4 linked regions of the Canis lupus familiaris genome follow. The protein of the gene in region 1 purifies or fractionates together with the protein of each later gene. This does not show direct contact. Links are inferred from orthologs where the notes say so. Each region holds a gene or a part of one and is shown in the gene's direction. Other genes may lie near its edges.

Region 1 (6,245 bases):
ACAAGCAGATAGAAATACGTTCTTCACTGCTCCCCTGCTCTACATAATGCAGCACGATACTAAATCATTTTGCACCTTGTTAGTTTTATCATGTACCATATTTAAGATATTTGTATCGTATATTAGCTTCCCTTGCTTTTCTTCTCTGCCTAGTGTACCCTTGTATGATTTACTGTGGTTTATGTAAATTGCCTGCTTTGTTGATGGGTATTTGGATTGTTTTCCATCTTTGGCTATTATAAACAGTGCTGCAATGAGTAACTTTAACATACATTGTACAGTTTAGGGAAGTGTGTCTGTAGGACAATCTCCTCGAAATGGAATCCTGCGTCAAAGAACACAGGGCTTGGTGTTTTTTAGCTTTAAAAGTTGCTTGCTTAAACTTAGTATCCCCAAAGTTTGCCTCCTCAAGAACTTGCATACTGCTTTGATGACATTCTCAAGCTGTCAACATTCTTTCTGTAAACAGAGGCAAGTTGGTGATAAATTTTGGCAAAAAAAACCCCACAAAACACTTTTTATAAGTTTAAAAGTTATATTACAAAACTTCATTTAAAGATTTTATTTATTCATGAGAGACACAGAGAGAGAGAGAGAGGCAGAGATGCAGGCAGAGGGAGAGGCAGGCTCCATGCAGGGAGCCCGATGTGGGACTTGATCCCGGGTCTCCAGGATCACTCCCTGGGCCAGAGGCAGGTGTTAAATCACTGAGCCACCCAGGGATCCCCTCAAAACTACTCTGATACAAACAAACTTTATTCTGAACTGAGGGATATAACAAAAGGAGGACAATCTATGCTTCCTGAAGCTCAAGTTGTTGGGGAAACAAAATGGATAAATGTAAAATAACTGTGAATATCAGGCAAGAATTTGCAGTTGGGCAATAAACAATGAGGAGCCGTTAAGTCCTTAAGTGAGAGGATGGTATAAAGAAAATGCTGTAGGGGTGTCTGGGTGGGTCAGTTGGTTAAGGGTCCAACTCTTGATCTCAGCTCAGGTCTTGATCTCAGGGTTGTGAGTTCAAGCCCTGTGTTGGGCTGCATGCTGGGCATGGAGTCTTACTTTTAAAAAAAAATGCTGTAAAATACTATTTTGCAACAGTATTCAGTATACATTAGAAAGGCAGGTGATGAATAAATGTGGAGATGAGGTTTTAGGAGTATCCCTAGTGAGAGAAAAGCAGAGCAAGTTTAAGAAATGAGGCAAAGGAAGAATCGTGCTTGTTTTCAACTTCATGTTCTCATTTATTTCTGGTATTTTGCTTATTAACATGCTAATGTTACCACATTAATGTGAAACCAATAGAAATACCTGTAACATGATTGATGTAACTATAGTCACATTCGAAAGACACATGTAAGTGGTTTGGAGTTGAAGGAAGGAAGCCTGGGATAGATTCTGCAGGTGTTGGGGAGAAAGGGGTTAATCAGAGGGATCCCTTATGGAAATTTAGAATTGAAAAGAACTTTAACGTTATGTAGTTGCCATCTGAGGTCTTGAGTGGTGAAGGGTTTTGAACAAAAGCAGTTGGTTACAGAATTGGGACTGGGACTTAGCTCAGCTGACTTTGGGTTCAGGATGTTTTGTCCTCAGTCACAGCCCTTGGGGCGGAACAATACAGCGCGTGTTGCACAGGTGTGATTTAGGAGTCTGGGGGATCCCTGGGGGGCTCAGCGGTTCAGCACCGCCTTAGGCCCAGGGCCTGATCCTGGAGACCCAGAACGAGTCCCAGATCTCACGTCAGGCTCCCTGCAGGGAGCCTGCCTCTCTCTCTCATGAAATAATTAAAAAAAAAAAAAGTCTGCGCCCTGTCTGGGAAGCAGAGAGTACCTAAGCTGGTGCTCGACACACATTCCAGCGTGTTCTCGGGAAGCCAAGGACGAAAGCCGCCAAGGGACTTCATTTAGATGTGATTTCCCCATTTTACGCCCCGCAGCACTCGACGGTTCTCCGAAGCCGTGGACCTGGCACCACACCTCCGTGTGCCGGTCCGGGCCGCCTCCAGCCTCATCCCCGAGCAGCGGTCCCCACCCCCCTACGTCCGCGGAGCCCAGCACGGGGTCCCAAAGGCAATGGATGCCCCCAAAGTGCTAACGCAGGCCTCCGTCTGAGGCAGGGGCGCCCTGTGTCGGCAGGGAAGGCAGGTGTCCGCCTGCGTCCACGCGAGCGCCCCAGCATCCCTGGGTTGGGCGCTGGGTTCTGAGCAAAGGAGATGGTTCGGGGGAGGCCGGGGCGCCGCTGCGGGGTCTGCGGGGTCCCCGGCTCGGTCCAGGCGCGCACACTGGCTTTTCCTGCCGGGGCTGCCTCCGCCGGCGCCGGCTTCCCAGTTGCCGGGCCTGGATCGTCCGGTCCCGCCCCGCCCCGCCGCTGGGGAACGGGGGGGGGGGAGGGGGCGCCCCGCCGGGGTCCGGGCAGGTGCAGGGCGGGGTGCAGGGCGCCAGGGCCCCGCAGTGAGCGAGTCCCGGCCCGCGTGGTGGTTGAATTCGGGGCGGGGCGGGGCGGCGGCGGGGAGCCGGGCAGGCCGCGGGGGAAAGCGGCCCGAACGCCGGGTGCCCTGGGCGAGACGAGGAAACGGCTGCTTCCCGGAGAGTGCCAGAGGCGGCGGTAAAGGGAGCCGGGCTGCTAAGTGACCCATGCCGTTAGTTCAACGGTTCCCGGCCAGAAAGGAGGAGAAGGGGGAGAAAAAAAAAAAAAAAAAAAAAAAACCCACACCGAAAACAAAAACACAAGCCCACGAAGCTTCCTGTCCCTTTAAAGATGGCGGCTCCGCACCGGCCCGCTCTGCTATTGGCTGCCCGAGGGGGCGGGGCGGGGCGAGGGGCGGGGCGAGGGGCGGGCCGAGCGCCGCGGAGCCCCGCCCCCTACGGCAAGCCGGACAGAGCAAGATGGCCGCCGCCGAGGAGGGCTGTGCTGCCGGTGCCGACGCGGACCGGGAACTGGAAGAGCTCCTGGAAAGTAAGAGCTCGTGGGACGAGAGGCCCGACGCGGGCGGTCGTGAGGGCTCGCTCCGGGGCAAAGCGAGCCCCGAGGTCCTGGGGGCGGGGGAGGCTCCCGCAGGGTTGGCGGGGGCGGCGGGTCTCCTTGCGACCCCGGAGCGAGCCCCTGGGCCGCGCGGGCCGCGGTCTCCGTCCTCGGCGGCGGGTCAGACCGGCGGTGCCCGGGCCGCAGGGGGAGCGGCAGCGCGCGGGACGGCCCGACCCCAGCCCGCCTTGGCCTCGCCGCGCAGGTGCCGGGACCGAACTTCCCGCCGGCAGCGGCTTTCGGCGCCTGGGGTCGGCGGCCGCCGCTCACCTGCCCTTCGCCACGTCAGAGCCGCCCCCGCGCCCCCACTCAGGCCGCATGTTCTTTCCTGCCCGCCCCGGCCCTCCCGTCCTCGGGTGGTTGCTTGCCCACAAGGGCCCGTGTCGTGCCCGCCACCCCTCCTCCTCCCCTCCTCCCCCAGCCTGGCAGGCGGGATGGCGGTGAGGACTCAGGTGTTCAGGGCAGAGGTGAACACGTTCTGTCTCCTGCCCAGTCACAGAGACGTGGGCAGACAGAAGGACGGTCAGACACGGTGAGGAGCGCCAGGTGGCCCTGTGCATTGGCACATTCTCTGCAGGGGCGAGCCGGCTGCGGGGAACTCCGGGAGCTCCGCCCCCCTCCCCGGCAGGGCTGAGGCAGGGCTGAGTCGGAGGGTAAGAGGAGAGACCTCAGTGCCCTCCGGGGAGTCCGGTGTGCTAGCCCTCAAGTCTGTGCCACACCAGGACCCAGGGGACGCCGGGTGGAACATCATGTGGCTGCCGCTTCCTTGCCAAAAATCATTCTCTGAAGGTCTCCAGAGTGAGTCCAGGGGTTGAGGGACATGTGTGCTCTCTGCCCTTAGACGTTTATATGGGATTTCTGGGAAATCGTTACAGTGTGGCAAGGAGGCCTCTGTGTAGTGGGAGATGCGTTTGCACAACTCTTAATTCTCTCCTCCCGGCTCTGGGAGAGATGCCTCCTCTTCCACCCTAAGGGATTCCTTTTACCGTTGATCACCATAAATTGGGTGGGTAGATGAGGAGGGAGGTGGGGAAGCTGATTGAAGGGTGGGCCAGGAGAGGGAGACTCAAAAAAAAAATTTTTTTTTTAGGAAGGTTGGCACATTGATTGTTCTCCTAATGCTTTGCCCAGAACGCGCCCCCCCCCCCCCCCCCCGCACCGCAGCCTTGCATCCTCATCCACCCCCCAACACACACACTGTGTCTCTTGTCTCTGAAGGTGCTCTTGATGATTTCGATAAGGCCAAACCCTCCCCAGCACCCCCTCCTACCACCACGGCCCCTGATGCTTCAGGGGCCCAGAAGAGATCGCCAGGAGACACTGCCAAAGTATAAATTCCACCCTTTTAAGGGATGGGAGGGGATGGGCGTGCATCTCTGAGCAGACGTGGGGCAGGCCCCTGTGGGTTGGAGAGGATGGGGGGAGGAGGCCTCGGCCTTAGAGTGCTGAGCGCTCTTGCAGGCCTTAGTCCTGGTAAACAGGGACTTTCCATGATGGAGAGGTGGGTTCTCAAGGCAGTTCTTTGAAAAAAAAAAAGAGTAGGTTTACATGATTGTTTTGGGAATGCCATCCTATATATACCCTTTCCTCAGTGGCCAGATGCCTTTTTTACTGTTCTCCTTAAGAGAGGTAGTTAGAATGTCCAGTGGAGGCGGGCAGGAGGGAAGCACTGCATTTCTCAGAGCCACTGCCTGTGGCTTGTGTCAGAGGGGTGCCAAATAAGAGATGCATTTTGGCCACCCCTTCCCTGCAGGATGCCCTCTTCGCCTCCCAAGAGAAGTTTTTCCAGGAACTGTTCGACAGCGAGCTGGCTTCCCAAGCCACTGCAGAGTTCGAGAAGGCAATGAAGGAGTTGGCTGAGGAAGAGCCCCACCTGGTGGAGCAGTTCCAGAAGCTCTCAGAGGCTGCAGGGAGAGTGGGTGAGAAGGCAGCCCAGAGGGCTGGAACTCTGTGAACCAAGTCCTGACATCTGTGTTGCCTGAGAACACTAGGTCTCTTAGTAAAGCTGATAGCACTCATCATATCACTGCTTGTGGGGAGGGGCCGGGAGGTGGGAAGAGGGATGGGAACATGGTATGATGAAAGGGAGGAGGCTGAAAAGACATTGAAAAGATGACTGAAGACTGACCATTTTAAAGGTCGTAGTGTTGTGGGTGTCATCGTGGAGAATAAACTGACATGCGCAGTTCATGTAGCTTCATGAAAATGACTAGGAACCACAGAGGATTCAAGAGATTGGTGTGCTAGTGATCCACTAGTAAATGTTCTATATCTATGTCTACTATATAGAAGATCTCTATATCTTCTATATCTATATATCTATAGATATATCTATATCTACTTGATAACCAAGTCAGTCTGGGTAAGCAGACAGTTAAAATCTAAAATGGCTTTTTATTTTAAGATTATTTATTTATTCATGAGAGAGAGAGAGACAGAGACACAGGCAGAGGGAGAAGCAGGCTCCCTGCAGAGAGCCCGACGTGGGACTCGATCCCAGGACCCCGGGGTCACGCCCTGAACCAAAGGCAGATGCTCAACCGCTGAGCCACCAGGTGTCCCCTAATATGGCTTTCTTGATCTTTCTTAGGCAGTGATGCGACATCCCAACAAGAATTTACGTCTTGCCTGAAGGAGACACTAAGTGGACTTGCCAAAAATGCTACTGATCTTCAGGTGAGGGAAAGGGGTGGGGTCCACGAGGGACCCCTCAGGCATATCAGCAGCAGAGTCTCAAAAGACAGACTTTGTTGGGTAGCATCTAAAGTCTGTTCCTGCCACACTGTTTTGTTGCAAGTGTAAATCGTTTTCTCCCACCTGAAAGGGTGGTAAGCATCTCAAGAAGGCAATATACAGATCTTCCTCAACTTATAATGGGGCTACAGCCTGATAAATCCATCATAGGCTGGAAATAACATAAGTTGAAAATGCATTTAATACACCTACCCTACTGAACGTGACAGCTTAGCCTCGTCTACCTTAAACACTACAGAACACTTACACAAGCCTAGAGTTGGGCAGAATCATCCACCACAAAGCCTATTTTCTAATAAAGTATTGAATATCTCATGTAATTTATTGAATGCTGTGCTGAATATGAAAAACAGAACGGTTGTAAGCAGATAGAATGGCTGTTAGTGCATCGGTTGTTGACCCCGGTGATCACGTGGTGGCCTGGGAGTCACAGCTGCTGCCCAGCATCACAGGAGAGTATCATCTGTGTT
Region 2 (6,255 bases), on another chromosome or scaffold:
TAATGGCTTAAGTCGTGGTCTCGGGATCATGAGATGGAGTTACGCTCAGGTTGGAGTCTGCTTGGGGTTTCTCTCTCTCCCTCTTCCTCTCCCCCTCCATACCACATGTACTCTCTCTCTCAAATAAATATTTTAAAAAATTAATAAAACTAAAAATGAGAAGTTCTAGGGGCCTGGTTAGCTTTGTCAGTAGAGCATATGAATATTAATCTCAGGATCATGAGCTCAAGCCCCAAGTTGGGTGAAGAGTTTACTTAAAAAAATAAAATAAATGAATTAGCTATAAAAAGAAATGGGAAGTCCTAGCAATACTGATCTTACATGTAAGCCATCAGCTAGGGCTAAAAAGCAGAATCCACCTTTGCACAGAGAATGAACTCTCCAGTTTGCCACATTGTGTTCTCTACACTGAGGCAAATTCTTACTGGTAGATTAAAAAAATAAAATATTTTTGTAACAATGTCTTAATTCAAAGAAAACAGAAAAGTAGACCAAGAAAGGATGTATTTCTTTGAGGAAGTGAAAAACATTCCATGGTTTTTAGTAGAACTACAAAGTTTATCTGTTGAAGGAATATATCTTAAACCAGAATTATGCAATAACTCCAGAGGGTGTATGATTTTACAATCTCTCATCTAGTTTGGCTGCATCCAACATTATCGAAGATATTGAATAGTACTAGGTCTCCTTTGCGGTTTGAGTTGATGTAAAAGGCACATCTGTTTACTTCCAAATTGACCTTAAAGGTCTAAGAAAAATTCAAGGTATTGCTATTAGTTATGCAGCTTGTGCCGACCTGGTTAAGATCTACATGATACAGGCCTGTAAGAAGTGCCCTTCCATCCCTTAATGTAGTCCTCACATAACTAACTTCAGCTTTCAAAGCACCTCTTGTCCTATCTTGCCTCATCAGACCTTTAAAGTGGGTAGGGGTGGGATTCCACGGATGCTGAGCCAGAGTGACTTCCCAGGTACACATACAGGTAGTCTGGGAAAAGCAGACACCAGACCCAGACCCCTCTGCCTTGTCCAGGCCTTCTGGAGGGGGACAGAAGCAGATGGCAGAAGGAAAAAAAAAAAAAAAGTGTAATTGAAAAAGAGATCTAAACAGAGGTGGCAGTTTGAAGGGTCAGGGAAAGTGCAAAGGAAGTCAGACAGTGAAGGGTAGAAATAAGGCAGTGGAAAGGGTGAGGGACTACCTCCAAGGAGATGAGCTGAGGCAGCATGTCTGTCAGTGGCCTCGGGGGAACCCCATTCCACCAATGGCAAAATGGCCCAGAGAGGAGGTGGTTTGTCCAAGGACGTCCAGCACTTTTCCAGGTGGGCACTGGACCCTGAACCCAAGTATCCCGATCCCAGTCCAGGATTTTCCCTCTGTCTATCAAGGGATGTCGGGCCAATGGGCCTGAGGCAGGTAGGGGTACAGTCACCACCTGAGTGGATGGAAAGCTCTGCCCAAGGCTGGTAGCGCCATTAACCGTCAAAGTCTCAGGTGGCCAAGTCCAAACAATCCTAACAAGCGACTCTGAAGCCCCGATTTTCACGTGGCTGAAGCCTTTCACAACTTACAGCTCCAGACGGCATCAGAAATACCTAACCACACTATTCAGGGTCTTTCGGAATCTCCTGAGAGATGGTCAGGCGCTCTTGAAAACGTCATGGAAGGAATCAAACATCAGACGCCCGATATTTTGGAACGGCCACAATCTCCTAAGAAATACTCTGGAATATGGGAGACTATGGGAAAGTGGTTTAGGAAACAGACGAAAACTGCCAATTGGCATTCGGGAATTTCCGGAGCTTCTCGAGGAGCCCTCGGGACCTCTCGGCAATTTGCGATCTTATTCAGGAGCCTTGGGTCTGAGCAGATCCATTCGTCGCCCACAGCGTTCAGAGCGACAGCCTCTCGGCCATTTACGGAAGTGTTCGGGATTGCTCGAGAGTGGCGCCCTCTGACGGCGGGAACTGTCACCACGAGCACCCCGGTGACAGAACGCGCAAAACGCGCAGACGCAGCTGCGCGCCCGCGGCCGTTCAGACCGGACGTGGTTGCTGCTGAGGTCATTTCCGGCGGGTGACGGTGCGGACGGGTCAGAAGCGTAGAGGCGGCGGCAAAATGGCGGCGCCTGAGGAGCGGGATCTAACCCAGGAGCAGACAGAGAAGCTGCTGCAGTTTCAGGTAGCAGCGAGTACTCGGTGCAGGAAATGCCGTCACGGGCTGGGGAGTGGGCCCCTGTTGGAGCCCAGAACCTCCCTCAGATTGGGCCCGAGATTCTCCTCAGATCAGCGGCGGCCCCCTCCCCCCCAGACGCCAACTGCCCTGCTGCTCCCGGCCCCCGAGCCTCTGTCGGTCCTCCGCCTTCCAGCCAGGACTGCGGCCCTCTCATCACCCCTCCGCGGGTCAGCTTCTCTGGTTTCCCTTAGCAACACCCGTTCTCTACCATTCTTCCCAGCCCAGTTACCCGTCGGACCCTCTCCGCCCTTCGACTCTAGTACTACCCAGATGCTTAATCCCCACCGCGGAGCTGGCCTCGTTTCGGGTCTCTGGAAAACCTACCAGGATCCCATGCTATTTCTGCAAATATATATTGATGGCCTCTTGGGTGCCTGGTCCTGTGTTGGGCGCTCTGGTGGGGGAGGTGGCAGACCTGGCCCCCGCCCTAAAGGTGTGGGAGGACACCACCTAAGGAAACCAGGCAACAATTTTAAGTATCAGTGGCTTCTGACGGGGTTTACTACCCTGGGCTTATTCCTGGACTCACGTTCTTGACAGTGCTTGACGTGGGTGGTAACTTGCAGAAATCTGCCTCCTTTTAGTGGTAGTCGTGTTAAGAACTTTTGGCACTAAGCACTTACTTCTGAGTTGGAGAAAACGATTGGAGGAGACCAATAGGGTGGGTAACCTTGGCCCTTTATCACCCTAATGGATACCAGTTTCCTTATTTCTAAAGTACTTCTCGTAAAAATGTCTACCCCCTAAGGATATCGTGAGCTTAAAATGAGTTTATGGATCTATGAAGGGCTTTGTAAACTGTGAAATGTTCCCAAGCGGTATTGCTACTATTCATCATTATTTAACTTAGGATAGAGTAAGTTAGTGGTACACTTTCTTCCGAATATAAAATGTGCTGAATATTCATTAATTTGGCATTATTTACCAAGAACCTTAGTGCTCAGGCACTGCTAGTTCAAATATCATTTATGGAGTACTTACCATGCTGTAAATACTTTGCTAAACACATAACATACTAGATCGTATTTAATACTACAAACCTTGAGATTCATGCTGTTACAAGGCCTATTTTACAGATGAGGAATATGAGGCTTAAGGAAGTAACATACTTAGGTTTCATAGCCAGTAAGTGGTAGTATCAGATTTAAAGCCAGATCCATCTTTCCAGAACCTTTCCTGAGCTCTTGACTTGAGAAATTGAGGACACAGCAAATTAGGATCAGAATGAATTAAACAATAGACAACCGGCTTCCTCTTCTTGGTGGACCACTTATTTCAAAGTTTTGTTTAATTTGGCAGGACATTTTACCCCTTACAGCTCTTTAGGGATAAGGTTCCAGATTAAGTATTCTGAGGTGATATGAATTATGTCATGATATACTTGGGCTGATGCTCCGAAGACATGAAAACGTAGTATTTCTGAGGTACAGTACATGGATACCTCTGTTTTGTCTTCATTGGACGCTTATATTGGTAAGAGGTGAGTAGTAGGTTAAAGTTGTATTAAGATTGCTTTGTGAGGAGTACCTTGATTGGCTTAGTCAGTAGAGCATGCAACTCCTGATCTTAGGGTTGTGAGTTCAAGCCTCACATTGGAGGTAGAACTTACTTTAAAAATAAAACCAAAAAAGTAGATTGCTTTGTGAAATTGGATTTACCAAGGCAAATGCATTTTGCATTTTTGTGTTCTTTAAGCAGTTGCTGGATCAGGTTCATCATTCAATTGCCATTGAACGTTCTTTGAAACTTACTAGATGTCAAGCATTATACCAGATATTTAATGTATTTTAACTCTTAAACCTCTTAACACTAAGGAATTAAGCCTCATTCGTTTTGTTAATGAAGAAACGGATTCTGAGAGATTAAATAACTCACAAAAGTATTAAGTGGCAGAGATTTAGAGATCCATACCCATAATCCTCTAACGTATAACCTACTGTAGAAGCAAGCTAACATACATACGTGAATAATGAGTATCTTGCGGTATATTCGTGCTTATAGTATGCTATGATATAAACAAAGTGCTATGGGAATTTATGGAAGGATAGGAATATTCCTGGAGGTAGGAGGAGGAGAGAAGAGAGGATGACCTAGTAGTTAACCATTTATTTATTAAGTATCTACTGTGCCTTAGGCATGGTGCTTGATAGTTTATAACTATTACACTTAATTCTCAAAATAGCATTATAAAGTGCCATAGATGATAGAGCTGCTCCTAAGTGAGGAAACCGATCTATTGAAGTATTTGCCTAAGTTCATTGAGCTATTAAATAGGATGGAATTAGAATTAGAACTGTAGTGGGTCTGAATCGGACTTTAAGGCTGGGTTCTTTCCACTGTACTTTGCTAATTTTGAAGGAGGAATAGAATTTCAACAGGTAGTAGGCAGAGGGATGCTCAAAGCTGAGGAAATGGCTCAAGCAATGTATGAAGATGGAATAGTGTGGAATGTTTGTTGTGATGGATTGAGAGAATTGGAAGTGGAAAATATGATTGGAAAGGTAAATTAGAGTCAGATTTTGGAGGCCTTTCAAAGCTTTGCAAAATGATTTAAATTTTACTCTGTATACATAGGGAGCCATCAAAGGTTTTTTTCAGCTAGAGAATAGCATAACACTTAAGTTTCAGGTTTCCTTCACTAACGCTTTGGAGTGTGTGCTTGGAATATCCATAGGAGTCAGGACAGAACCGGGTGGTACTGCTAGGCACGAATTCTCAATAATATTGCTTCATTTGATGTATTGAAATTAGCAAAAGTAAAATATTTTAGAAATCTTAGGTTTCCTCTGTTTCATTTTTTTTTTTTTATGACATGTGATTTGACTGGAACTTCCCAGAGTATATTTATCGTGTTTCTCAGACCATTTGATTTTTTCTAAGATTTTTTTTTTTTTTTTTTTAAGATTTTATTATCTATTCATGACACACAGAGAGGCAGGGGGAGGAGAAACAGGCTCCATGCCTGGAGCCCGATGTGGGACTCAATCCTGGGACTCCGGGATCACGCCCTGAGCCAAAGGCTCAACCACTGAGCCATCCAGGCGTCCCTCTAAAATTTTTTTCTAATTATCCTTTTCTTCTGTTTATTTTGGAACCAATTGAATATGAATGCACATGTTTGTTTTAAGCTGTTTCAAATGGAAGAGAATAGGTCTTAAGAGTTAATGCAGATATGGGTAGGGTTACTTTATTGAACCCCATTTTCCCAAATATCCAAATATAACAGACTCCTCTAGTGCCTTGGTTTACTGCTTTTAGGTTGCTGTTTGAACACCTGGAGAAAAATGACATGGACAGAGAGAAGGGACTAAAGGAGCTATATGCAAGGCCAGGAGGAAGAAATGATTCCTTTCTGCTTTTGTATGGGAGTAAGAAATTTCCTTCCCTTCCCTTCCCTTCCCTTCCCTTCCCTTCCCTTCCCTTCCCTTCCCTTCCCTTCCCTTCCCTTCCCTTCCCTTCCCTTCCCTTCCCTTCCCTTCCCTTCCCTTCCCTTCCCTTCCCTTCCCTTCCCTTCCCTTCCCTTCCCTTCCCTTCCCTTCCCTCTCTTTTCTTTTCTTTTCTTTTCTTTTCTTTTCTTTTCTTTTCTTTTCTTTTCTTTTCTTTTCTTTTCTTTTCTTTTCTTTTCGATTTTATTTGAGAGAGAAGAGAGTGTGAGCAAGGGGGAGAGGCAGAGAGAGAAGCAGACACTGCCTAGCAGGAAGCCCTATTGTGGGGGCTTGATCTCAGGACTCTGAGATCATAACTTGAGCCAAAGGCAGATGCTTAACCTATTGAGCTATCCAGGTGCCCCAGGAGTAAGACACTTCTTTCCTTTTAAATGAATATTAAGGTGTGATCTTTGTTCTTTTAAATTATAGAAAGTTAAGCCTGAACTCTGGCCTTAGAGTCAAGCTTCTCATTCACTTTAAAAATCTCTCTTTTTGGCTTCATCTCTTTATTACCTAAAGGAGAAAGAATAATACAATGCTCTTTGTTCATGTATTTAAAAAAAAATCAGAGAGATCAGTTTGAATTTTTTGCCC
Region 3 (6,081 bases), on another chromosome or scaffold:
AAGGCCTTCCGGAACACGTCGTGCCTGCGGCGCCATCGCCACGTGCACACTGGTGAGCGGCCCCACGCCTGTGGCGTGTGTGGCAAGAGCTTCGCGCAGACCTCCAACCTGCGGCAGCACCAGCGTGTACACACGGGCGAGCGGCCCTTCCGCTGCCCACTCTGCCCCAAGACCTTCACGCACTCGTCCAACCTGCTGCTGCACCAGCGCACCCACTCGGCGGAGCGCCCCTTTGCCTGCCCCATCTGCGGCCGCAGCTTCGTCATGGCAGCCTACCTGCAGCGGCACCTGAGGACGCATGCCCCGGCCCCCGCAGCTGCCGGCCCCGCAGCCCCCGCCACCAGCTCCCAGCCCCCTGCCCCGCTGGTGGCGGCCCCAGCCCCATCCACCACCCAAGATGTCCATGTGCTCCCCCATCTCCAGGCCACACTCTCCCTCGAGGTGGCAGGGGGCCCGGCTGCGGCCCCACCCCCGGGCCAGGCAGCCCCCAACTCCCAGACTTTTCTCCTGGTGCAGACGGCCCAGGGCCTCCAGCTCATCCCTAGCAGCGTCCAACCCCCTACACCTGCGCCCCCACCTCCTCCCCCCAAGCTCATCCTGCTGCCCTCCTCCGGTACTGGTGCTGGGGGCCGCCGCGGAAGGCAGGGCACACGTGCAGCAGGGAAATCTGGTCAGGGGCCTGGAGTAGTATGGCTGCCGGGTCCTGGGGGGTTGGGGGTCCAGGGAGGGGGCAACGCAGGGGCCAGTGGGGGAGGGCAGAGCCTCATTGTTCTGCAGAATGTAGGGGGTGGGGAGGCAGGGGCACAGGAAGTGAGCGGGGTCCAGCTCCAGCCCCTCCGGCCAGCCCCCGAGGTGACCACGGTCCAGCTCCAGCCCACCCAGGAGGTGACCACAGTCCAGCTCCAGCCGGCTCAGGAAGTGACCACAGTCCAGCTCCAGCCTGTGGCAGGCCAGCTCTCCAATCCCAGCGGGGGAGCTGTGACTCCTGAGGCCCCCAATCTGCTGGTGGTTCAGAGTGGAACAGCTGAGGAGTTGCTGGCAGGTCCAGGCTCTGGGGAGCCAGGTGATGGTGAGGCCAGTGCTGGTGTTGTCCAGGATGTGCTGTTTGAGACACTGCAGACAGACGAGGGGTTGCAGAGTGTCCTGGTGCTGAGTGGGGCAGATGGGGAACAGACCCAGCTGTGTGTGCAGGAGGTAGAGACCCTCCCTCCTGGGCTGGCCGAGCCTCCAGCCCCTGGCCCTCCAGGACAGAAGCTGCTCATCATCCGCAGTGCACCTGCCACTGAACTGCTGGACAATAGCAGCGGTGGGGGAGGTGCTGCCACACTGCAGCTGCTGGCCCCCCCCCAACCTGGCCAAGCCTCTGCCCCAGTGGGCATCTCCACAGCTCCCACCTCCCAGATGGTACAAGTGGTACCCACTGGCGCTGCACCTGGAGGTATGACCCCACAGGGCCTACCCTCCATCCAGATTGTCCAGACTCTGCCCGCAGTCCAGCTGGTGCATACATTTTGAGGAGAACCACTGGGACTTAAGTGTGCCCTACACAGAGACCCCAACTCGCTGGGCTGGGCTGGGCTAGAGGGAGGGGAGCTGCAGGCTGGGCTTGCTAATAAAGACTGGAAACTTCTCTCCCGTATTTTATGTTCTTGGGGGCTGGTTGGGGTGGGGGGAATGTCATGGCCATAGCCACCGCTTGGGACCTTGAGGGTCTTGTATCTCTTGCTTCCTGGCTCGCAGGTGACTCACTTGGAGATTTTTGGCCAGCCGCTTCTAAGTGCGGTTCTTTTTGTCATTTTACAAAGGGATGCAGCGGTCCCTATCGTGGGGAGGAGTTGGGATCTAGAATTGTGGTTTTGTCACGTGTTCGCTGTAAGTCACCCCATCCCTCCCCGCATCTGAAAAATGGGCGCGTGGGAATCCTCCCGGAGGTCCCGGAGAGCACAGGTAGTTCGCAGCAGCGGAGGTTCCTGGGGCCGGGAGGTTACGAGGAGCGAGTCCAGAGTGCGGCCCCTCCCGCGAAGGCCCCGGAGCCAATGAGAGCCGGCCCGCTCCCGTCGCCGCGCACCCCCGCCTCTCCGCTTGCTTAGCAACCGGCGAAGGTCAGGTAGCGAACGTGCGCTCCTCCTGTGCGGGCCGGGTGAGTACGGGTCTGCGCTCCGACCCCAGCCCTAGGGGGTCGCTGCTCCCAGCTCCGGGCCTCTCCGCGGCGCGCGCCCGGGCCCCGCCACCTGCCCCAGCCGGGACGCTTGGCAACTGTTGCTAAGGCAGGCTGCACACCCCGCCCCTCCATGCGCGGTGTGACGTCACTTCCGCAAGCGACCCCCTTCACTACCCTGCAGCCCCCGCACCTGGTGGAAGGCCCGAAGCGGCCTGCCGAGGTTCTCGCGGTGCCTGCTCCTGCGGCGCGGGTCGGGGACGCCTGCGGGGCAGGGAGCGTGGTCCAGGCGCTGGCTGCTGGGGGTGTCCCGCTGACTCCCCAGGGCCGTCCGGGAGCCTGGGAGGGAGCCCCGGGTGGCAGGGTGCTGGACCTCGCCTGGGGAGCCCCAGCCTCCAGGGTCCCGGTCAGGGTCCCGTTGCTGCTGGTCCTCCCTGTCTGGGGCGCCTCCCTGACGCCGGCCTGCTTGTTTTCACCAGGTGCACGCCTGCGCCCTTTGGGGGCGCGGGAGCCTGGCGGCGGCCATGGCCCCCAACCACCTGTCAGTGCGGGAGATGAGGGAAGATGAGAAACCCTTGGTGCTGGAGATGCTGAAGGTGAGAGCGCGCGGGGTGCCTTGTGCGTGGCTTCAGCCACTTGCCAGAGCCAGCCCGGACTCCTGGGACCCGTTCTTTTCCTTCTGGCTCGGTCCCTTTCCTTTCCGGTTCCGCAGAGGTTTTAGGGGTGCCTGACTGGTTGGGTCTTGACCTCAGGGTCATGAGTTCAAGCCCTACTTTGGGTTTAGAGATTTTATTTTTAAGTTTAAAAAAATTTTTTTTTACATTTTTATTTATTTATGATAGTCACACAGAGAGAGAGAGAGAGAGAGAGAGAGAGAGAGGCGCAGAGACACAGGCAGAGGGAGAAGCAGGCTCCATGCACCGGGAGCCTGACGTGGGATTCGATCCCGGGTCTCCAGGATCGGGCCCTGGGCCAAAGGCAGGCGCCAAACGCTGCACCACCCAGGGATCCCTATTTTTAAGTTTTAATAGATGGAGGGCGGTGGAAGAGCATGGTCCCAGCTCCCTCCATAGTTTGCAGACTCCAGCCAAAGCCCAGCCTCCTCCTCAACACTCTTCAAAGCAGAAAGATCCCTTGGGCCTCAGCCTGGCCCCTCCTGAGCCCACCTCTTGCTGCCCGGAGCTTGCTCCTGCTCTGAACTGGGGCAGTCCTCTGCCCTGTGGCCTCAGTGTCCCCCACAGCTCCTAACTCACTCACTTGCTCAAGGCCCAGGGTGGTAGGGCAGATGCAATCCTATTCCCTGCTGTTCCTTGGCCCCATCACAATGCCTTCTCATTTGGGAGCTCCCACTCCTCCGCCCCTTTCCCGGGCACAGCCCACCCCACTCCTCCCGGATGCCCAACAGCCCGATGTATGGCCCAGGACCCTGGCTCTGACAGCAACTTCTGCCCACAGGCTGGTGTGAAGGACACAGAGAACCGTGTGGCCCTCCATGCCCTAACACGGCCACCAGCCCTGCTCCTCCTGGCTGCAGCCAGCAGTGGTCTGCGCTTCGTCCTGGCCTCCTTCGCCCTGGCCCTCCTCCTGCCTGTGTTCCTGGCTGTGGCAGCCATGAAGCTTGGCCTGCGGGCCCGATGGGGCTCACTGCCTCCACCGGGCGGCCTGGGGGGCCCCTGGGTGGCAGTGCGCAGCTCGGGTGATGTGTGTGGCGTCCTGGCCCTGGCCCCAGGGTCCAGTGCTGGGGATGGGGCCCGGGTCACCCGCCTCTCTGTGTCTCGCTGGCACCGCCGCCGAGGTGTAGGCCGGCGGCTGCTGGCCTTTGCCGAATCCCGGGCGCGAGCCTGGGCAGGAGGCATGGGAGAGCCCCGGGCCAGGCTTGTGGTCCCTGTGGCGGTGGCAGCGTGGGGCGTGGCAGGGATGCTGGAGGGCTGTGGCTACCAGGCTGAAGGGAGCTGGGGCTGCATGGGCTACACACTTGTGCGGGAATTCAGCAAGGACCTGTGAGGACTCTGGACCCTGGAGGAAGGGAGAGCACTTAATGAGCAGCTACTGTGTGCGGGTTGAGTCCCCAGGCCTGCATAAGGCAGGACACTCCACTGCAGGCTGACGGCTCTCTGTAGGCTTGAACTTTTCGCAGAGGTCAACCTGTCCAGCCCCCTGACCCGGATTTTGTCTGCACTGAGAAGTCTCCTCTGTCCGTCTGCCAAGGTTGCACAATTTATGCTACAGGCCTGGGCGAGATCAGTCGGGAGGAGGACAGGAGGCCCGCAAGTGTGCCCACCCCCATGGGTTAGGACCTGCGGTCAGGGGCACCCCAAATGGGGACGAGGCCCTCCTGGGAACGGGGAGGGGCTTGATGTCTGCACAGAGGGGATGAGCAGAGCCCTTACAGGGGAAGGGAGTCTGACCAGAGCAAGGCCCTGGCAAGGATGGAGGGCACAGGGCTGCCCATGCCAGGCCCCTCCCCAGAAGGTGAGCTGAGAGGGGCGCCAGCCAAACCCATCTGGTTTTTTACACCCGATTGTTAATAAAGCCTGAAACTGCTGCACGTCCGTCTCTCTCTCTCTCTCTGATGCCTTTTCCAGTCTGTCTCTGACTAGCCTCCCCACTGTCTGGCTTCTCCTTTTCCCTGACTTGACGTTAATTGTTGCTGGGGGTGCTGGACAGGGAGAAGGGGAGGCAATGAGCTCACGGCAGCCCCACTCCCTGCCAGCCCTCTGACTCATGCTCCCCATTACCGAATTTTTTCCGCCTCACAGCTGCCTGGTGCCGAGTGGGGGGCGGGGGCAGGGTGTGTGTGTGTGTGCGTGTGTGTGTGTGTGTGTGTGTGTGTGTGTGTGTGTGTGTAGTCCCCCTCCCTCAACCAAGACTCAGCCCTTAGTCCTGCTGGCCCCTTCCACCCCAGTTTCCCCAGGGTTCAGCCACTGCTCCCTCAGACGGGGGACTCAAGGTTTTGCATTCAACCCCACCAGGGGGAACCCATAGGGCTTCCTCAGTCTTCCTTCCCAATCCAGGAAGTCCTTCCTGGTTTCTGGCTCTGAGCCCTCTTGCTGCTGAACTGTGAGCCCCAGCTGCACCAGGTCCCCAAACCCCATCTCTCAGTCTGCTCTACCCCGGTGTCGCCATGTTCCCTGGCTGGACAAGAGGCAGACGGGTGGGTGCTTGTGCATGCCCCTGTGGGTCCCAGCAGCCTCCAGCCCGCCCTACCCTATGCATCTCTAAGCACAGCAGGGCGACCAGCCTGGAGGCTCCCTGGCTCCCTGTGGGAGTTTGCAGTTGGACACCCTCCCTCCCCTCCGCCACCACCCCCCTCCTCCCCAGATCTCATCAGCCGGCCAGCCCCCTCCCTGCCCCCACTCCTGTCCCCTGCTGCCTCCTCGGCAGGCAGCCTCTCTTCCTTCTGGCAGAGCGTCCGGCCACTGCCTGCTCCTCCCCGGTCCAGGGCTCCTCTGGCAGGCGCTTCCCTCCCTCCCTCCTTCCCTCCCTCCCTCCGGTGCCGGTGGCGGTAGCGGTATCGGTGGCCACAGCCTCCTCCCCTCTCCTGCTTGCGTCCCCTTTCACCCCGTCCCTGCCCTGGACTCTGCAAACATGAGGGTCTTGGCCTGCCTCCTTGGTGAGTGACCCCTTCTCCTTGGGGACTTGGGGACCTCTGACCCCATATACTTAAGCAACGCAGACTTCCGGGGCCGTGTCCCTGGTGCTTGGGATAAGGGACATCTGGTCCTCGTCTGGTTCCCCAAGGGACCCAGCCTTCTGCACACCCAGTCCCACCCTCTGAGGACCCCAGGGACCTACCCGTCCCTCCACCCCAACCAGCCCTGACTGGGGGGGGGGTCACACACCATTTGACCCTGACTGGGTCTCTGGGGAGCACAAAGGGCCTGGCTCCCAGCCCTGACCAGAGGCATGTGGGGCCCCGCCTG
Region 4 (5,098 bases), on another chromosome or scaffold:
TTCCATAAAGGACCCAGTAGAAAACTAATTGTAACAAAGCTAGGGTATCAAGACCAACTTTCTGAAATAATCTAACTTGGAAAAATAATTTTTAAAAAGCACTGAAGTAACATGGGGAAAAAACCAGAATGGTGGATAATGTGAACTGGTTTTATGGTTTTCATTTGAATTGCATGGGTGGGAGCGGCTATCTTCATTGGGCTGAGAGATTTGAGAGCAGATAACTCACTTGAACCTAAATGAGATTTCAAGACACAAAGACCATGAAAAAGGAAAATGGACTCAAATATGGCCAGTTGTTTCTGTTATTTTCATAGTGTAAACATCCAGAAAATAAATACTTAGGTATCCTGAAAAATGTCCAGTTCTGAACCACTTTTGGAATTGCAGAGACCACAGAGATTCAGGAGTTTTACCAATTAAATCCACACTGAGTTCTCTGGCCAACAATAGTTTTTGTATAGATGGATTATTTTGAAGTCTTTTGCAACATGAGTCATTTTTTCAATTTAAAGTTCACAAATATCACTTTGTATTTGTAAGCATGTTGGTTGCAGTCATCACAAGTTTCTATACTATAGTTAAAGCCATAATCACCCGGGAAGGAGGGAGCATGTCAGAATCCCTGGGAGGCTTTATCCACTCAGTTTCCATCTTCAAGACTTCTGTTCCTTCTCAGGGCACCTGGCTGGCTCAGTCAGTAGAACATGCAACTTTTGATCTCGAGGTCATGAGGTCAAGCTTCACAGTTTAGAGATCACTAAAAAAAGAATAAGTACAGTTAAAATTCTGTTTTCTCCCACTAAGGACCCCTGCTCTAGGCTACTTAATGTGTGGCAGGATAGGAAATAACAGCTGGGAACCACTGGTGTAAGGACTTCCAGTGTCAAAAATTGGAAGACCCCTGGGTCCCTGCCCATCTTTTTATTGCTGAATTTTACAGAGTTACAGTTTTGTTGCACCAGGAGACGGAGTGGCTGGGTTCAGTTCTGTCCCAGGTACTCTACACTTTGAAATACATAGTAGCAGTACAGACAAGTCAATGCACAGCACCAGGTTTTATTCTTGAGCACCTACTCTGAGCCAGGCCATGTTCTAGGCACTGCAGGCACAGCAGTGAATAGACAGACACAATTGTGTCTTGTGACATTTACCTCAAAAGTGACAAAGAGGGCACCATATGACTAAACAAATGAGATCATGACATAGTGATACATGCTATCAAGACAATGAAACAGGACCTGGAATAGAGAATGGCTGGGAGAGCGGTGGGTTCATTGTCCAGAAAAATCATGAACAAAGTCTCCAAGCTGACAATGTTGAGTAGGAGCTGGCTAGGTAGAGACTGATTAGAGATCCAAGGCAGGAACAAGTCTGGAGACAAAAAAAAAAAAAAAAAAAAATTCTTGAAGCTCTCAAAGAGAGCTTGTTTTCTAGAAGGACCACACAGGCCTGTGTGGTTAGTGATGGGGAACTCCAGGAAGGCAGGTTTTAGGACTCCAGGGTATGGAGGTGAAGCTGGACCAAGAAGGGTACATCCAGAGAATGGCAGTCCTGCTCACCATCACCGGGGGGCCCTCAGGTTCTTCTTCACAGGGCCACTGAATCACTTCTTCTACCTCTTCATGGAACACTGGATTCCTCCTGAGGTCCCTTTGGCTGGGGTCAAGAGGCTTCTCCTGGACCGCCTCCTCTTTGCACCAGCTTTCCTGCTATTGTTCTTCCTCATCATGAACTTCCTGGAGGTTGGTCTCTGCCATAGCTCCTTGTCTGGCACAGCAGCTCTTAACTTGGCATCTGTGGGTGGAATTGAGAGGGTCTGTGAACTTTTCAGTACACTCAAACTGAAATTTTTCACTTCTCTGTGTATAAACATCAACGTAAACCACAGTTGTACTGGCAGTAAGTGTTGGTCCACAGTAAGAAGTCACAAATATCTTGATATCACACATCATTTATCCTCGACAGGATATCTTTTGTTCTGTGACTCCTCGTACTTGCCTTCAAGGCTCATTACTGAATAGGTTAATATGGAAGCACATCTACTGGTCTAGGATTCTTTTCCTGAATATTTTGAAAAGTATATTTCAGTACAGTAGTGTAGTTGATATATTTTATTTTATAAACAGGATTCTCAGAAGGGGGTCCGTGAGATTCATGAAACAGAAATTTTAGGCCCCTGATGGTATTGCAGAAGCCTATGCTAACTCAATGCCTGAACATCACAAGTGCTCTGAAGAGGTTAACGTATCAGCGTAGACTTAAAACATTAAAACCCACCACATGAGAGGTGTGTTCACCTCTAATCACCAGGCATGTCTGTTCACTGTGCTTAGCCAAAGTCCCTTCCCAGTTCACTAGCACCTCCACCCATCTCTCCATTCACTGTGTATACCCTGGATGTGTTACCCTGGATGTGTCATGTTCTGCTCTGAAAGTAATTGTTCCAACCAATCACAGCAGGTAAATCCTTCTTCAGGTTTTATTTTGAAACAGCATCTTGAGTTTTTGTTCCTGAGAACACCTCTTGTGGTCTAAAGCATTCCTGGGGGGAAGCAGGAAAGATGCTTCAACTTAACTGGTTAGTAATGAATCCCTGATAGTAAAAAGAAGTGTCAGAGAAGCTCTTAGGAAATCTGAGGTAGCAAAGTGTGTAAAGTACCCAACAAATAAATGATATATGTGGGACATTATACCACACACACTACAGATACCTCTGCATCTGCATTAAAAAAATTGGGGGGGTGGGGCAGCCTGGGTGGCTCAGCGGTTTAGCGCCACCTTCAGCCCAGGGCATGATCCTGGAGACCCCGGATTGAGTCCCATGTCGGGCTCCCTGCATGGAGCCTGTTTCTCTACCTGTATCTCTGCCTCTCTCTCTCTCTCTGTCTCTCATAAATAAAAATAAATAAATAAATAAAATAAAATAAAATAAAATAAATAAAATAAATAAATAAAATAAATAAAATAAAATAAATAAAATAAATAAATAAAATAAATAAAATAAAATAAATAAATAAAATAAAATAAATAAAATAAAAAATAAAATAAATAAAATAAAATAAATAAATAAAATAAAATATAAAATAAAATAAATAAATAAAATAAATAAAATAAAATAATAAAATAAAATATAAAATAAGATAAAATAAAATAAATAAAATAAAATAAAATAAAATAAAATAAAATAAAATAAAAACATTAAGGGGCAGCCCGGGTGGCTCAGAGGTTTAGCGCCACCTTCAGCCCAGGATGTGATCCTGGGGACCCTGGATCGAGTCCCATGTCCGGCCCCCTGCATGGAGCCTGCTTCTCTCCTCTGCCTGTGTCTCTGCCTCTCTCTCTTTCTGTATCTCTCATGAATAAATAAATAAAATCTTTTAAAAAAATAACAAAAAAATTTTTTAATTTGAATATAGTTGACAATGTTATGTTAGTTTCAGTTATACAGCACAGTGATTCAGTTTCTCTATACATTACACTATGTGTACCACAACTCTTATTATAATATCATTGACCCTATTCCCTGTGTTGTGTCAACGTCCAGCATTTTTTGATCACAGATACCATATCTGGACTGCACAGTATTCCACCATTTGCCTGTCTCTTTTGTGTAAGGATTCCTGTTTGGTTAATTCCTAGAATTGTCCAAAAAGGCTGTCCTTGCTTGTCCTTCCTGCAGTGGTACAGAACAGTATAGACAACTGACATTTATTGAGCACTTGTTCCAAGCTCTGCATTGAGTGCTTTGTGTCATCTGAGCCGCAAGTCAACCCCATATTTGAGGAAGCTAAGGCCCACAGCATAAGTTGCCATAACTTGCAAGCCTGTGAGTCCAGTCAAACCCAGGCTTTATGATCCCAGAGCACTTAACCCTCGCAGCTTTGTCCAGTGTGGTTGGCTTCCACACACTCTTGATAACCATGATTGTATTTTTCTTTTAAATAGTTTGCAATTTGACACATAAAAAATAACGTATACATCTTTACTTATGAGATTGAACTTTTTATATGCTTGCTGTATTTCTTCTATGAACTGTTTATTTTTTATCAGTGTTTGCTTTTTTCTCACTGATTTGTATATTTGTGTATATTAAGGATCTCAATCCTTTGCCAAATACAGACTGCAGATACTTTTCCCATTTTTCAAGTTTTTGTCTTTTAGCTACAGATAAAGTTAAACATTTGAAGTTACATAAATAAAGCTTATTTATAGTGTGTTACTCCATACAGGAGTTTAAAAAATATATGTACTCAAATCTGTCATTCTTTTCCTTTGTGGGCTTCCTTCAAGGAAAATACTGGGAATATTCTCCTATAGTTTGTTTTATGATTTTATTGTGTACATTTTGATAAACAGATAAATAGAAATAGTCTAGTATCCTTTTTTATTTATATGTGGGAGATATACTTGTCTTGTTTCTTTCCATTTAATAGCAGATTGTCTTGTTACCATTTATTGAACAATCTCCTGTACTTTGAAACATCCACTTTATCACTCTCTCATTCCCATACATGCTGGCCTTTATTTGGACCTCTGATCTTTTGCTGAATTCTATTGATTTCCATGGTATGGTGGGTTTTTTTTTTTTTTAGCTTTTACCATCATTTCAAAGTATTTTTTAAATTTTTAGTGATTTAGGCCTCCCCTTGCTATTCTTTTTCAAGATGGCTATTCTTATGCTCTTATCTTTTAAAAGGCAAAAGATTATACAATCTGAAAAGAAACCAGAGTATTGCACTTACTTTTAGAATCAATTTATTGGGGTTCAATTTTTAAACACTTCAAGTTTTGCCTGAAAAATCCATCAGTTTTTTAGATTATTTTGAGAACTGACAGCTGAGCCATAAATAGCTGCCCCTGGCCAGCAGCACAAATCCCACCATTCAGTCAGCTCTGTAAAGAGTGATGAAAGTCCATGAGGGCCATCAGTACAGTGTCAGCAAGTGGGCTATCTCACTCTTGATTTCTCAACCATGCGGTTGGCTCCTGATAGCTGCAACACTAATTAGGCACACAGGTGTGCTGTCTACGTACAAATTGAATAAAATCCAGGTTTTAAAAATCATCATGTTAGGGTTTGGGGCCCTCCAGACCT

The links.
Region 2: the proteins of PEX19 (region 1) and FAF2 purify together in Homo sapiens (affinity purification with mass spectrometry; 4 studies listed by BioGRID and IntAct, counting the BioPlex papers as one, with this or other methods). This does not show direct contact. The link is inferred for Canis lupus familiaris from reciprocal best matches to the Homo sapiens genes PEX19 and FAF2.
Region 3: the proteins of PEX19 (region 1) and NAT14 purify together in Homo sapiens (co-immunoprecipitation; 3 studies listed by BioGRID and IntAct, counting the BioPlex papers as one, with this or other methods). This does not show direct contact. The link is inferred for Canis lupus familiaris from reciprocal best matches to the Homo sapiens genes PEX19 and NAT14.
Region 4: the proteins of PEX19 (region 1) and PXMP2 purify together in Homo sapiens (affinity purification with mass spectrometry; 3 studies listed by BioGRID and IntAct, counting the BioPlex papers as one, with this or other methods). This does not show direct contact. The link is inferred for Canis lupus familiaris from reciprocal best matches to the Homo sapiens genes PEX19 and PXMP2.

The regions. Positions count from the first base shown.
Region 1 is NC_049259.1:22,763,495-22,769,739, forward strand, and holds the start of PEX19 (peroxisomal biogenesis factor 19), read left to right. Parts: upstream 1-2,829; 5' UTR 2,830-2,885; coding exon 2,886-2,955; intron 2,956-3,514; exon of another isoform or gene 3,515-3,770; coding exon of another isoform or gene 3,771-3,819; intron 3,820-4,239; coding exon 4,240-4,349; intron 4,350-4,774; coding exon 4,775-4,940; intron 4,941-5,611; coding exon 5,612-5,697; intron 5,698-6,245. UniProt on the Homo sapiens protein: Necessary for early peroxisomal biogenesis. Acts both as a cytosolic chaperone and as an import receptor for peroxisomal membrane proteins (PMPs).
Region 2 is NC_049225.1:37,776,472-37,782,726, reverse strand, and holds the start of FAF2 (FAS-associated factor 2), read left to right. Parts: upstream 1-2,031; 5' UTR 2,032-2,116; coding exon 2,117-2,179; intron 2,180-5,491; exon of another isoform or gene 5,492-5,553; coding exon of another isoform or gene 5,554-5,601; intron 5,602-6,255. UniProt on the Homo sapiens protein: Plays an important role in endoplasmic reticulum-associated degradation (ERAD) that mediates ubiquitin-dependent degradation of misfolded endoplasmic reticulum proteins.
Region 3 is NC_049222.1:102,986,828-102,992,908, reverse strand, and holds NAT14 (N-acetyltransferase 14), read left to right. Parts: upstream 1-2,243; 5' UTR 2,244-2,291; coding exon 2,292-2,381; exon of another isoform or gene 2,382-2,411; intron 2,412-2,637; coding exon 2,638-2,754; intron 2,755-3,613; coding exon 3,614-4,162; 3' UTR 4,163-4,706; downstream 4,707-6,081. Other genes in the region: ZNF628 (zinc finger protein 628), read left to right, coding at 1-1,515; soluble scavenger receptor cysteine-rich domain-containing protein SSC5D, read left to right, coding at 5,747-5,771. UniProt on the Homo sapiens protein: Probable acetyltransferase. May act as a transcription factor that regulates the expression of coproporphyrinogen oxidase by binding to a promoter regulatory element.
Region 4 is NC_049247.1:438,233-443,330, reverse strand, and holds part of PXMP2 (peroxisomal membrane protein 2), read left to right. Parts: exon of another isoform or gene 1-760; intron 761-1,241; exon of another isoform or gene 1,242-1,374; intron 1,375-1,562; exon of another isoform or gene 1,563-1,582; coding exon 1,583-1,745; coding exon of another isoform or gene 1,746-2,024; exon of another isoform or gene 2,025-2,814; intron 2,815-5,098. UniProt on the Homo sapiens protein: Seems to be involved in pore-forming activity and may contribute to the unspecific permeability of the peroxisomal membrane.